Linked DNA regions of Saccharomyces cerevisiae S288C. The gene in region 1 interacts genetically with each later gene. Each region holds a gene or a part of one and is shown in the gene's direction. Other genes may lie near its edges. The genes, in order: YAP1802, APL1 and PAL1.

Region 1 (4,181 bases):
TAACATTGGATGTTTAGTCAATGGTGCTGGTTTGGCTATGGCTACTATGGATGTCATCAAATTAAATGGAGGCGATCCTGCGAACTTTTTGGATTGTGGTGGTGGTGCCACCCCTGAGACCATCAAACAAGGTTTCGAATTGATCTTATCCAATAAGAACGTAGATGCAATTTTCGTCAATATTTTCGGCGGTATCGTAAGATGTGACTATGTTGCCCTGGGGCTGGTAGAAGCCGCCAGAGAACTAGAAGTTAGGGTCCCCATTGTGGCACGTTTGCAAGGTACCAAAGTAGAAGAAGGCCGCGACATTATCAATAAGTCAGGCGTGAAGATTTATTCGTTTGATGAATTAGATCCTGCTGCTAAAAAGGTCGTTGAATTGACCCAAAATTAAGCTTCTCGAGAAAAACAAAAGAGTTAATAATAAAGTATATATGCTTTTTTACTATTAATAAAGTTTCTTATTTTCCCTACATGTATACATACATATAAATATACTCTTTTGGAAAAAATTTCTTTTTTTTTTTTTTAATTTTTTTATATTTTTCCATCTTTTGATGTAATATAGAGGTTATATAATGAAAGAATATATAAGAGGTCATAAAAAATCATTAAAAAAATGCGAGTTCAGGAACATATTATCGTTTACGTAATCAGTGCGTTATTGGCGGATTAGTACCGATCACACCTTTGTTCATCGATGTGGATGCAGTTTGCTTTGCTGCGACGGCTGCAGGAGTCTCCCCTTTTATTATGTAGTGAATAACCTGTTTAAAAGAATCACCGTTCCGTATCCTAAAGTTAGCAATTCTTGTTAGATGGTAGCCTGCAGTGCAACCCAGGAAAAAATTGACGGAAGCTAACAGATAGTTCTTGGGCTTGATGACAAACGACCAACGCGTCCAAATCAGTGCCGTCGCTAATAAAGATAAATTTTGTGCTCCTGATACCTTCTCAACAGGCCTCTTAATATCATTTAGCCCTGCGAAGACCAGCCCCCACTTCAAAGTTGGGGCCCAGAAGTGTACTGTTTTAGGGCCTGTTTCACTATTCCAAAATCTTCTAAAGGCAAAATTAAAAGCTGATGCTGACATTAAAAATATAGGTTTGTGTTTCTATGTGTCTTGAATGCTTATGCGTATAGTCTTAAAGACTGATTGTATTCTTTTTTTTTATATGAAGTATTTCCGCCGTAATGAAAGGGAAAAGAAAATTTTCTCCAATACTCCAATTGCAACGCACCATATTATCCGGGAGAATACACGCACGCAGCCGCATATATATATATGATGGCCTTAGTTTTGTTTGAGCCTTTCGGTTTTGCGTGACCAAACCAGGGAGCGGCTCGCTTGACCCGCCCACGGAATGACGTAAAGCCGTTAATAGCCGATTGGCGGGAGAAATAAAAGCGGGGCACTCCCAAGATGAGGGGTAATCGGGGTAATAATATCCAATCAAGGAGGAAAAGGGCCAAATGTTACCCGACTATCCAAACTGCAGGGTAACCTTTATTTTTTCTTTTCTTTTACTCCTACCATTTTTTTTTTCAGATTTTTCCCAGTATGGCTTTGTTTTCATTTTGCTTTGGTGGAGGGATAGATTAAGTTTGCAGCTGCGTAGAAAAGTTTCTTTTCTACATTCGAGGAAAAAGTCGACTTATTAGTCTGGTTAACTTGTTATTAGGGCTTCTTGCTTGAGTTATAATTTTAGAAGGAGAAAAAATAAATCTGTAGCAGGAGTACCAATTTGCTACGCTTGCTAACATCTACGAGAGTAACAATATCAAGCATACAAGCGCGACTGTCTCGGCTACCCCTATAATAGATATAGAGGCGTGTTTGTGAAACAATGTCTTCATTATATACTAAGTTGGTTAAAGGGGCGACCAAAATAAAGATGGCCCCTCCAAAGCAAAAATATGTGGACCCTATTCTCTCGGGCACTTCGAGCGCAAGAGGATTGCAAGAGATTACCCACGCATTGGATATAAGGTTGTCTGATACAGCCTGGACCATTGTTTATAAGGCATTGATTGTGTTGCATCTGATGATACAACAAGGCGAAAAAGATGTCACGCTAAGGCACTATTCCCATAATTTGGATGTTTTCCAATTGAGAAAGATTTCGCATACTACTAAGTGGTCTTCCAATGATATGAGGGCTTTGCAGAGATACGACGAATACCTAAAAACACGTTGTGAAGAGTATGGCAGGCTAGGTATGGATCACCTACGAGACAATTACTCCTCGCTAAAGCTGGGCAGTAAGAACCAGCTTTCAATGGATGAAGAGCTAGATCATGTTGAATCATTGGAAATTCAAATTAATGCCTTGATAAGGAATAAATACTCTGTTTCAGATTTAGAAAACCATTTGTTATTGTATGCATTCCAATTGTTAGTACAAGATTTACTAGGTCTGTACAATGCTCTTAATGAAGGTGTCATTACACTTTTAGAATCATTCTTCGAATTGTCCATTGAGCACGCAAAAAGAACACTGGATCTCTATAAGGATTTCGTGGATATGACAGAATATGTTGTTAGATACCTAAAAATAGGAAAAGCTGTCGGTTTGAAAATCCCCGTTATCAAACATATTACTACAAAGTTAATTAACTCCCTTGAGGAGCATTTGAGAGAGGAAACAAAAAGACAAAGAGGTGAACCTTCTGAACCGCAGCAAGATAGAAAACCATCTACGGCCATTAGCTCTACCAGTAGTCACAATAACAACAGCAATGACAAGAATAAGTCTATAGCGCAGAAGAAACTGGAACAGATAAGGGAACAAAAAAGACTGCTGGAGCAACAATTACAAAACCAACAGTTGCTCATTTCCCCCACGGTCCCACAAGATGCTTACAACCCATTTGGATCACAACAGCAAGATTTAAATAATGACACCTTTTCATTCGAACCAACCCAGCCACAAATGACCGCTCAAGTCCCTCAACCAACTGCTAACCCCTTCTTGATACCGCAACAACAGCAACAGGCTTTACAGTTGACATCTGCGTCTACAATGCCACAACCAAGTGAGATACAGATTACTCCAAATTTGAATAATCAACAAACTGGGATGTATGCTTCTAACCTTCAATACACCCCAAATTTCACCGGCTCAGGGTTCGGCGGATACACGACCACCGAGAACAATGCAATTATGACCGGCACTTTAGATCCAACAAAAACGGGGTCTAACAACCCATTTTCGCTAGAAAATATTGCCAGAGAACAGCAACAACAAAATTTCCAAAACTCCCCAAATCCTTTTACCCTCCAACAAGCACAAACCACCCCGATTCTTGCTCATAGTCAAACAGGTAATCCATTTCAGGCTCAAAACGTGGTGACATCACCAATGGGCACATACATGACGAATCCCGTGGCCGGTCAACTTCAGTATGCCTCTACTGGTGCGCAGCAGCAACCACAAATGATGCAGGGTCAGCAAACAGGGTATGTTATGGTTCCCACTGCGTTTGTCCCCATCAATCAACAACAGCAACAACAGCAGCATCAGCAAGAAAATCCTAACTTAATAGATATATAGTGAGCGATAGATACTACAGTTTTTTGTTCTCAACAGGCCGTCCTTGCATATTATAAACTCTGATTTTTAGGTAATCCCTTCCACCTTTCTATATTTTATGATACTATCCAAACATGTAAATTTTACGTACCATACATATAACCTCATCTATAATTTTTACCCTGATCTAACTAACTTTGGCATGCCTGGTTCAATCTACGGGTTACAGTCATCGTTGAAAACGATGGAAAAACATGTCGAGATTCCTCAATCCATACACCATTATAGTCCGTTTTATCAGCTTCCACTAATTTTTTAAATCTCAGTTTCTTCTTGAAATTTAGCATCGTGCATGGGATAGCGGCTAGTAAAAAAGAAAATTAATATCTCATTAACAAAGTTATTGTACATAATCCGGTACAATATTCTTCAATGTACTCTCTAATATCGAGCACACTGGCAATATTCATGCACACATTCGCCTAATGCTGACGAATGCTTAATCAGTGCAATTACTGCCACCCTCTTGATATGTGGGCTAAATCCTTTAGGACCTGTAAAAAATGCAATCACGTTTTCACATTTTTTTTTTTCTTGCGGAATTGCGGAATTTCCCAGTTGGCAGCGTTATCCGATTTGAGATCGAC
Region 2 (4,569 bases), on another chromosome or scaffold:
TTGGTATCATTGTAACTTTGCGGGAACCACCAATCATTAAAATCATTGGATGAATAAACCTGAACTGAAGAACAATCCAAATCGACATTGTTATTGGAACTGTCGTAATCAATCTTCTCAGTACCACCCAGGAAATATCCGTTTGGACAATACATACCCAAATGATAACTTTCAAAAGAACCGTAACCAGTTGAACGCCCAGAGTGAAAAACATTCTCTGTAAAAGCAGCAGGATCGAAATTCACCACATCTGACATTTGATTACCAAGTTTAACAAGCATTGGCCCAGATTTGAAAAACTTAGCGTTTTCTAACTCATATTCATAGCTGGAACCACCATCACTAAAATTTAGCGAAAATGTTATGGATCCATCAATCGTATTATAGGAGGACAGGTCATTTTGAGCAGTACATGTGAAAGTAGTATTTTCATACAAGTATGCAGCCTGTTGCGAAACATAGCATTTGAAAGCCTCAGTACCATCCGCTAAGGAAATAGTAGCTGTTTGCGATGAGTTTAATAGCTTAATCCTATAAACATGTGGCATTGATAATGTGAATTCATCGCCCTCCCTAATGGAAGACGCATCTGCAATACTAAAATCAAAAGTGGCAGTCCAACCTTGATCAGGTTGTTTATTTGCAGTCAGTGGAGTAATTTCTAAATTGGAAAATGTGATATCGTTGATATTTATAGCAGAGGCCAATGCCAAGGAAAAAAGCCACAGAATAATTTTGAGAAAAGTGAACATTTTGAAAACTGGCGAATTGTTGTTCCTTTTGTGCTGACTATATTAAGCGAGGCGACTGATATAAGGAAGATATGAGAATGGACGATTACTAGAATAAATAGAGGGCATTTCGCATATTTATAGTATGCTAAAAGGAATCTTTTTTTGATTCACATGGCTTTTTTTTTAGAAGATTGCATTTCGTTACATGATCAAACAATTCCATTGTAACGTTTTTGGGAATATTTAAGCGCCGTTACTGAAGAATGAAGTGACATAAAGCTGCCATTGTATGGTAAAACACCAAAGGCGAGTACCCTTAGCATTTCCTTATCGAGCTGGAGCGGCTTCTACCTTCCTAATTAGGTCATCAATGACCTGCAAAACAAAGCGAAATGGACAAAGGACCTACACTTGCCTCGTGGCGGGAAACTGCATGTAGTTGTTCAATGTTTCACCACTCAGTGTTGAAACTGTTTACTCCATTGAATTGAGGTGACGATGGATAAACTTTCTTTATTTTTTATATTTTTTTATAATTTAATTAACCTAAATTGAGCCTAACAGAGGAATTTGAAACAACACAATAGAAAACATGAGTTTCAAAAGCTAAATATGGTATTACTATTCATAGTGGTCTTGGTAATGAATAATGCATATGTATACTCTTCTTAACGCCTTATCTTATGTAACCATACACTTTTTTAGTAAGGTTTCAATTAAGCTACTATTCTCAATTAAATACTGCTCTGAGCTAGATAAGGCCTATTGAAGTTGGAGGATTAGATGGATAGAAATAAGGAACTAAATCGTCAAGTTCGAAAGCCTATTCCCATTCATGCATATCACTTACCTTTCCTTAATCATGATCTCTTTAGTGCCATCAGAACTATTTTCTTAACATCGCGATTCTGTCTTCCGGGTATCGCTCCAAAAATGTGCGAGGAAATAGGAGATCGTTCAAATCATCAACTTTTAGTATTGGGTATCAAAGTATCGCAGCCTGGAAACAGAATTAATCTACTGCACAAGAAGGGAATACAGCAAGAACATTCACTTCATTAATAGGACGTATTTCGCTTATGTCCGATCAAAAAGTTTTTGCCAGATATAAAGCAAATGAAATCGTCACAGATCTGCAACATTTTGGAGTAAAAAAGTTTAAATCGAATATAACAAGAAGGAAAAATGCTCTGAGAAAAATTATCGCCAATTTGGTTCTAGGAAACTATGGCGAAATGTCCGTTCTGTTTTCTGAGCTCTTGAAATTTTGGCAAATTGAAGATGATCTAGAAGTGAAAAGAATTTGCCATGAGTATATTAGGGTGATCGGCGCATTAAAACCTCAGCAGGCCAGAGAGGCTTTGCCATTTATAATGGACGATTTCAAAAGCAGAGATGAAAAGTTACAAATAATGGCACTAAGAACTCTGGTATTAGTCCCGGTGAAAGAGCTATCTGATCAGGCCTTCGACTGTATCATTTCATTGGTAAATCACAAGTCTCCACCTGAACAAGTGACGAGGACAGCAATTTACGCACTGTTGGATTTAGATGAAATTGATCATGAAAGGGTATTGGGGTTATCAAGCATTCTACATGACATTGTAAAAGCACAGTCGAGCTCTCCAGAAGTCATTGTAGCTGCATTACATACTTTATATTCCATTCACGAAAAAAACGCTAACATGGAACCCTTCAGGATTCCCTTGGAACTCGCTTTTGACATGCTAGAGCTTTTACCCGAATTAAATGAGTGGAATAAGGCTACTGTTTTGGAAGTTTTGACGACTTCGGTTGTGCCGCAGCATTATTTGGATACCCATGAAATGATCGAACTAGCTTTACCGTACCTGCAACAAGTAAACACATACGTAGTGTTGAACTCTTTAAAATTCATCATGTACTTGTTGAATTATGTTGACGTCATCAAAGAAACTCTAGCCGAAAAGCTATCTAACTCTGTAATAGCTTTGTTAGATAAGCCGCCTGAATTACAATTTTTAGTATTAAGAAACGTTATTCTTCTTTTATTGAGTAGGGAGTCATCTCTACTCAGGCTAGACATTTCGTATTTTTTCATCGAGTACAATGACCCCATATACATCAAAGACACGAAATTAGAGTGTTTATATCTTTTAGCTAACAAGGAAACATTACCAAGAATTCTAGAAGAGTTGGAACAATATGCTACAGATATTGATATTCAAATGTCAAGGAAATCAGTCAGAGCCATTGGTAATCTGGCTGTTAAGCTAGATGAAGACTCTGTACACGATTGTGTCGCTGTTCTACTAGATTTGTTAGAATTCGGTGTTGATTATGTCGTCCAGGAGATTATTTCGGTTTTCAGAAATATTTTGAGGAAATATCCCAATAATTTTAAAGCAAACGTAACAGAACTAGTCAAACACACTGAAGTTGTACAGGAACCTGAATCAAAAAACGCTATGATCTGGATAATAACGCAATATTCGGATGTAATTCCAAACTACCTGGAGTTATTTAGAGTTTTTTCCTCAAACATGTTTAGTGAGACGCTAGAAGTGCAATTTTCCATTCTGAACTCAGCAATAAAATTCTTCATCAGAAGTCCTACAAAGGAAACTGAAGAACTTTGTATGGATTTATTAAAAGGATGCATCGATCACGAAAATAATCCTGACTTAAGAGATAAAACACTGATGTATTGGAGATTGCTGTCATTAACGAAAACGTCTCGTATATCAAACGCGATAACTTTTGAATCTTTAAAATCAGTACTGGACGGAGAGTTGCCACTAATAGAAATGAACACGAAATTAGATCCCACCGTTTTGGAGGAATTGGAGCTAAACATTGGTACAATAGTATCGATTTACTTAAAACCTGTTTCTCATATCTTTAGATTGAATAAAACCAAACTGCTACCACAAAGTCCTATTTTGAATCCAAACAAAGACCTCTTGCCAGTTGTAGGTAACTCATTTCCTCCAACTGGAGCTAATAGGGACCGTCAAAATTCAGAAAGCCAGTCCTCGACGAAGTCCAGAAAGACTGCTATGATGGATGATTATGATAAGCCCGCTGAAAAAATTAATCAGTTGAAAGGTAAGCGTAAATCTAGTTCAAACAACCCCTCAAAACTATCACGGAAACCCTCAACTTTATTAAGAAAACTCTCTATGAAACGGCCCTTTTCGTGACTGCAAATGATACTAATTCCTGTATTTAAATATACTCATATTTAACGAACAATTATGATGAATGAAAAAACCTGATATAATAGACTTAACTAAGCGATCATAAAAAAATTCAAAAAGTTATTTTATAAAACAATTCAGATGTTAAACTAAAGAGTTAATGTAATATATATACAATGAACTGCGTCATAAATTCCCATAGTTCAGCTCATGGGACATTATCTACTTATAAAGACGTGGCTTGGCAGCATTTCATATATAAGGCTACTGAATGTAAATTTTTCTTCCATTGTCTTTCCCGTGTCCCGAGAACTCAATTCAAGCACTGTTCTTGGGCGTAATAAACCTTCCGGTACTACTAAAATCAGACAAAGGCAGGAAGCCTCGATTTGACCTTTTAACGGGTAAAGCTCTAAAAGTTGCTCTCTGCTCCATATTCTCGTTTTCCGTCATTTCAGTATCTTTTTCCCCTGCCTCCCTTACCTAAAGCTTCCTCTTCGGCGGCTAGTAATTGGTCTCTTTCCTTTTTGGCTCTTAGCTTCTCTGTCTTTTTTTGTTCCATAATCAGCTTCTTCTGGTTAGGGGTTCTCGCACCTTCTTCCCACCTCTGAGCTTCTTGAGCTTCTAGTTGTTGTTTCTCTAGTTGGTCCTTTTCG
Region 3 (3,707 bases), on another chromosome or scaffold:
TTTTCTATCCTTATTGAAAGATGCAGATATCATTGAAAGTTCGTCATATTCACTGTGGTTGGCTGGAGACACTTCCACGTACAAAACATATAGAGATCCAATATCTAATTGTGGGAAGCTACTTCTTGGAGGGGTGGATCCTTCGCTGTTTACCGGTACACTGGGAAAATTTGACTTAATTCCTTACGTTGACCCAGTGAGTAATGCTGTTAGTGTTGGGTACCCAATTGTGCCATTAGGCCCTATTTATATTGTGTCTAACAGCGGACAAAGTTTGAATATGACTTCGAAGGACTTTCTGAGCCCAGCCTTACTTGATTCAACTTCTTCGGTCAGTTACCTGCCAACTAGTACCATTATTCAGATTGCCGTTCAAATTGCGGCCACTTATGTGGAATCACTAGATAGGTGGCTAGTCCAATGTTCTATAGCAGATATGGGTGTCTCCTTGGGTTTCAGGCTTCGAGAATTGACAATTGAAATACCCCTACGTGATTTATTATCATCTACTTACGATACATCCACCAATTCTTCAATGTTTTTCAGTTCTGGACAGGAAGCTTGTTTTCTAACACTATACGCTAATACAAATACTGGAGTAAACATACTCGGAGAAGCCTTCATAAAAAATATATATATGGCAATGGACTTAGAGGATAACACTATAGCCATTGCACAGGCAAAGAAGGTTGAAGATGACGCAGTTACTGAAGAGACAAATGAAACTACCGCGTCCACTATCATCAAGAAGATCAAATCTGGTTACATTCCTTACGCAAAAGTGATGAATAGTAGTAATACAAGAAACTTGACTCTTTATCCATCCTATAGGTCAGGCTATATGTTCACTGTCCCAGGTCAACTGACAGCAGCATACTCAAACGGTGTGATTACAGGTGCGGGCCGGTCATTCTATGATACTTCAAGAGCAAGCACAAGTGCTAGACCATCCAGTACTCAATTCGACAGCTTTTCTGTGTCAGCCTCAGAAGAGTGGTCAAATTCAACTAATAGAACCAGCAGTGCTTCGGGAGCAGGCGTTCGATTGAGCAGTCCTTATACATTTAACAAAGATCCAGCTGGACATGTAACTCGTATAGCTTCCTTGCTACTACTTTCGATATTCTCGATACTTATTGTTCTTTGAATGGTTTTAACAAAAGTTCATAACATAAAACCTTTTTCTCCTTGACCAATGCACGTATAACATCATTATATAGCAGATTTAATAACAACATACTTAAAAGTATATATGCGTCATTCTTATCCAGTTGTGTAGAAGCTAGTACTTGTGATCAACCATTGGCAGCCATCTCAAAGAATCGTCGTGCACGGAGCGTAAATCGCGTTACTTTTTTTTTTGTTTTTTTTCCCGCCTCGAGGTTGGTTCAACAGCAGATCATGGTGACTGGCGATAGGTTATTCACTAGAAAATGAAGATACTCTTTCTTGGGAGGTAACTCTGTAAAATTTCTAATTTGTATTTTATAGTGTGTAGAATCCGAAATATATCCGATCTACCTCGCTCTTTTTATTGTTATTTTTATTCGAGGAATTTAAGTGTTTTGCAGACCTATCCCTTCGAACACGTAACGTCATTTTACCATAATCTTCGACTGCTTAATTGTTGATACATTGTAGGTTCCATTACACTTTGCCAGCATTTTCCATTTTTAGAAAAATTGATACATATACGCAAGATTTAGCATGGAGAATAGAAACAGTAGTACCTCTAGTAGGCCATTTTCTGTTAATAACCCGTTTAGAAATGCCACAGTTGATTCAAGTATTAATCAGTATAAAAATGACTCCCAGTTTCAGGAGTGGGCGAAAAACCAATCTCGTACCAATTCATTTGATATGCCACAATTGAACACAAGAACTTCTTCACAATTATCATTCCCAAACATTCCAGAGGATGAACCCCAGCGAAACGCAGATCAGCAGGGTGCTTTTTATTCTGGTTTGGAGAGCTTTAGTAGTGGTAGTTTATCACCACCTTCGAGACCTCTTTCCTCAAAGAATCCTTTCCTAGACGATGTGAGTTCTGCAACCGATTTTAGAAGGTCTCCCCCACCTGTTTCAAGGAATAAAAATCATCCCACTGCTAAAGAAGAAAAAGAACAATTAAGGCAAAGATATTTGGAGGAAAGTGACGTAAGTACAGTAGGTAACACAAGAGAAAACACTGACCTACCACCCTCATACGAAGAGATCACTTCAACCAATGGATCAAGGCGTGCATATCCAAAGGAAAAGGTTTCTCGTCCTTCTTCTCACCGCGAACATAGCAACAGCGGCACATATATTTCACGCAGATCTTCATCCCACCATCACCGTGAAGCTTCCTCATCTTCAACGCCTTCTAAGAAGGGAAAGAGAAAAAGTAAGGTTATTGTTCCTAAGAACGTCGATACTATCGATAAGTTAGATGTAACTGGATTGTTCGGTGGCTCATTTCATCATGACGGCCCATTCGATGCAGTAACACCTCATAGAAATAAAAATAACAAAGCTGCGCCTGTTTTAGCATTTCCGGTCGATGGTCCAAACAGTACCATCGGTGGCGCTTCAACCAAGAAGTCTGCCCTGGATGAGGTTTTTGGGAGAGATGATACAGATGATTCTGATATATACCAGTACAGTTCGCAGACTCTAAGGAGAGGTGGTGATACGCAGGACGCAATAAAAGCAAACGTGGGTAACGTCCAACAAATGGATGCCAAAAATAAGACAGAATTGGTTCATGGGCCAGTTACTGCGGGATTAGGTTCTAGTACGTTTTTAGATGGGGCGCCGGCCTCCTCAGCTGCCATTAGAAACGACATAAAAGCCCATTCCTATCATAATCGTAACGGTGGTTTACAAAGAAATAAGTCACTTTCTCAACGATTAGGTCTCGGAGGATCCGGTGATAGCAATGCCCCCATGACAGGCGTTAGAAGAAACTTGAGTTTAAGTAGAGACAACTATGATGTTGGTCACAGCAATGAAGGTGTTAGAAGGTCGAAAACCGTTAATTCTCCTAACAGAACGCATAAGTCCAATTATACTACTGATTTCGACGGCCAAGATGATCACAATGAAGATGAGGAAGACGTTTATTTGGGTGTGCGCTACAATGAGCCCAATATGAAAAAGAAATCGACGGGCAGCAAATTACTGAGCAGAGTAAAAAGTCTAAAGGTCGGCAGGAAAAGTCAGTAAAGTGAGCTTAAAAGAGAGAAAAGAAGCTATGAGACACCAAAGCCAGGCAAATAAAAGGGAGAGATACGAATAAAAATAATTTAAGACCACGTTATATACACATTACGAATAGTTTGACTTTATATATTTACAGAGACTACCAACTTATATCAAAAGGAAAAAATTCCCATTACCAGTTTCATTCATAACGTGTTGAATGCTTGGATCTTAGTACGTTGAGGTAACCTTGACTCTACAATTTTCCATTCTATAGAGTCCCATACCCTTTCTAAATATTCTCGTTTCCCAAATACGCCATAATCAGTTAACCATGTTTTTGGTGACGCATCAATGGCTAAAAGCGGGATATATGAAACCTCTTTCCCAGAAAAACCTTTCTGTTGGGTTTCATAAATAAATTTTGTCTTGGCTTGCTTGGCAGTCATCTCAGAATCTTCAAGATTACCGGCTTCTTTGGCTCGTTGTTTTTCCATGTTGGTATATTGGTTATTGAGCTCATT

Evidence for each region.
Region 2: of YAP1802 (region 1) and APL1, changing one enhances a phenotype caused by changing the other (phenotypic enhancement), as found in Saccharomyces cerevisiae (one study listed by BioGRID).
Region 3: of YAP1802 (region 1) and PAL1, changing one enhances a phenotype caused by changing the other (phenotypic enhancement), as found in Saccharomyces cerevisiae (one study listed by BioGRID).

The regions. Positions count from the first base shown.
Region 1 is NC_001139.9:974,249-978,429, reverse strand, and holds YAP1802 (Yap1802p), read left to right. Parts: upstream 1-1,848; coding exon 1,849-3,555; downstream 3,556-4,181. Other genes in the region: LSC2 (succinate--CoA ligase (GDP-forming) subunit beta), read left to right, coding at 1-394; MPC3 (mitochondrial pyruvate carrier), read right to left, coding at 654-1,094; YGR240C-A (uncharacterized protein), read left to right, coding at 3,653-3,853. UniProt on the Saccharomyces cerevisiae protein: Involved in endocytosis and clathrin cage assembly.
Region 2 is NC_001142.9:444,110-448,678, forward strand, and holds APL1 (Apl1p), read left to right. Parts: upstream 1-1,813; coding exon 1,814-3,916; downstream 3,917-4,569. Other genes in the region: SAG1 (Sag1p), read right to left, coding at 1-752; LSO1 (Lso1p), read right to left, coding at 4,368-4,569. UniProt on the Saccharomyces cerevisiae protein: Adaptins are components of the adaptor complexes which link clathrin to receptors in coated vesicles. Clathrin-associated protein complexes are believed to interact with the cytoplasmic tails of membrane proteins, leading to their selection and concentration.
Region 3 is NC_001136.10:1,169,826-1,173,532, reverse strand, and holds PAL1 (Pal1p), read left to right. Parts: upstream 1-1,707; coding exon 1,708-3,207; downstream 3,208-3,707. Other genes in the region: YPS7 (putative aspartic endopeptidase), read left to right, coding at 1-1,147; mitochondrial 37S ribosomal protein mS43 MRP1, read right to left, coding at 3,390-3,707. UniProt on the Saccharomyces cerevisiae protein: Involved in the early step of endocytosis.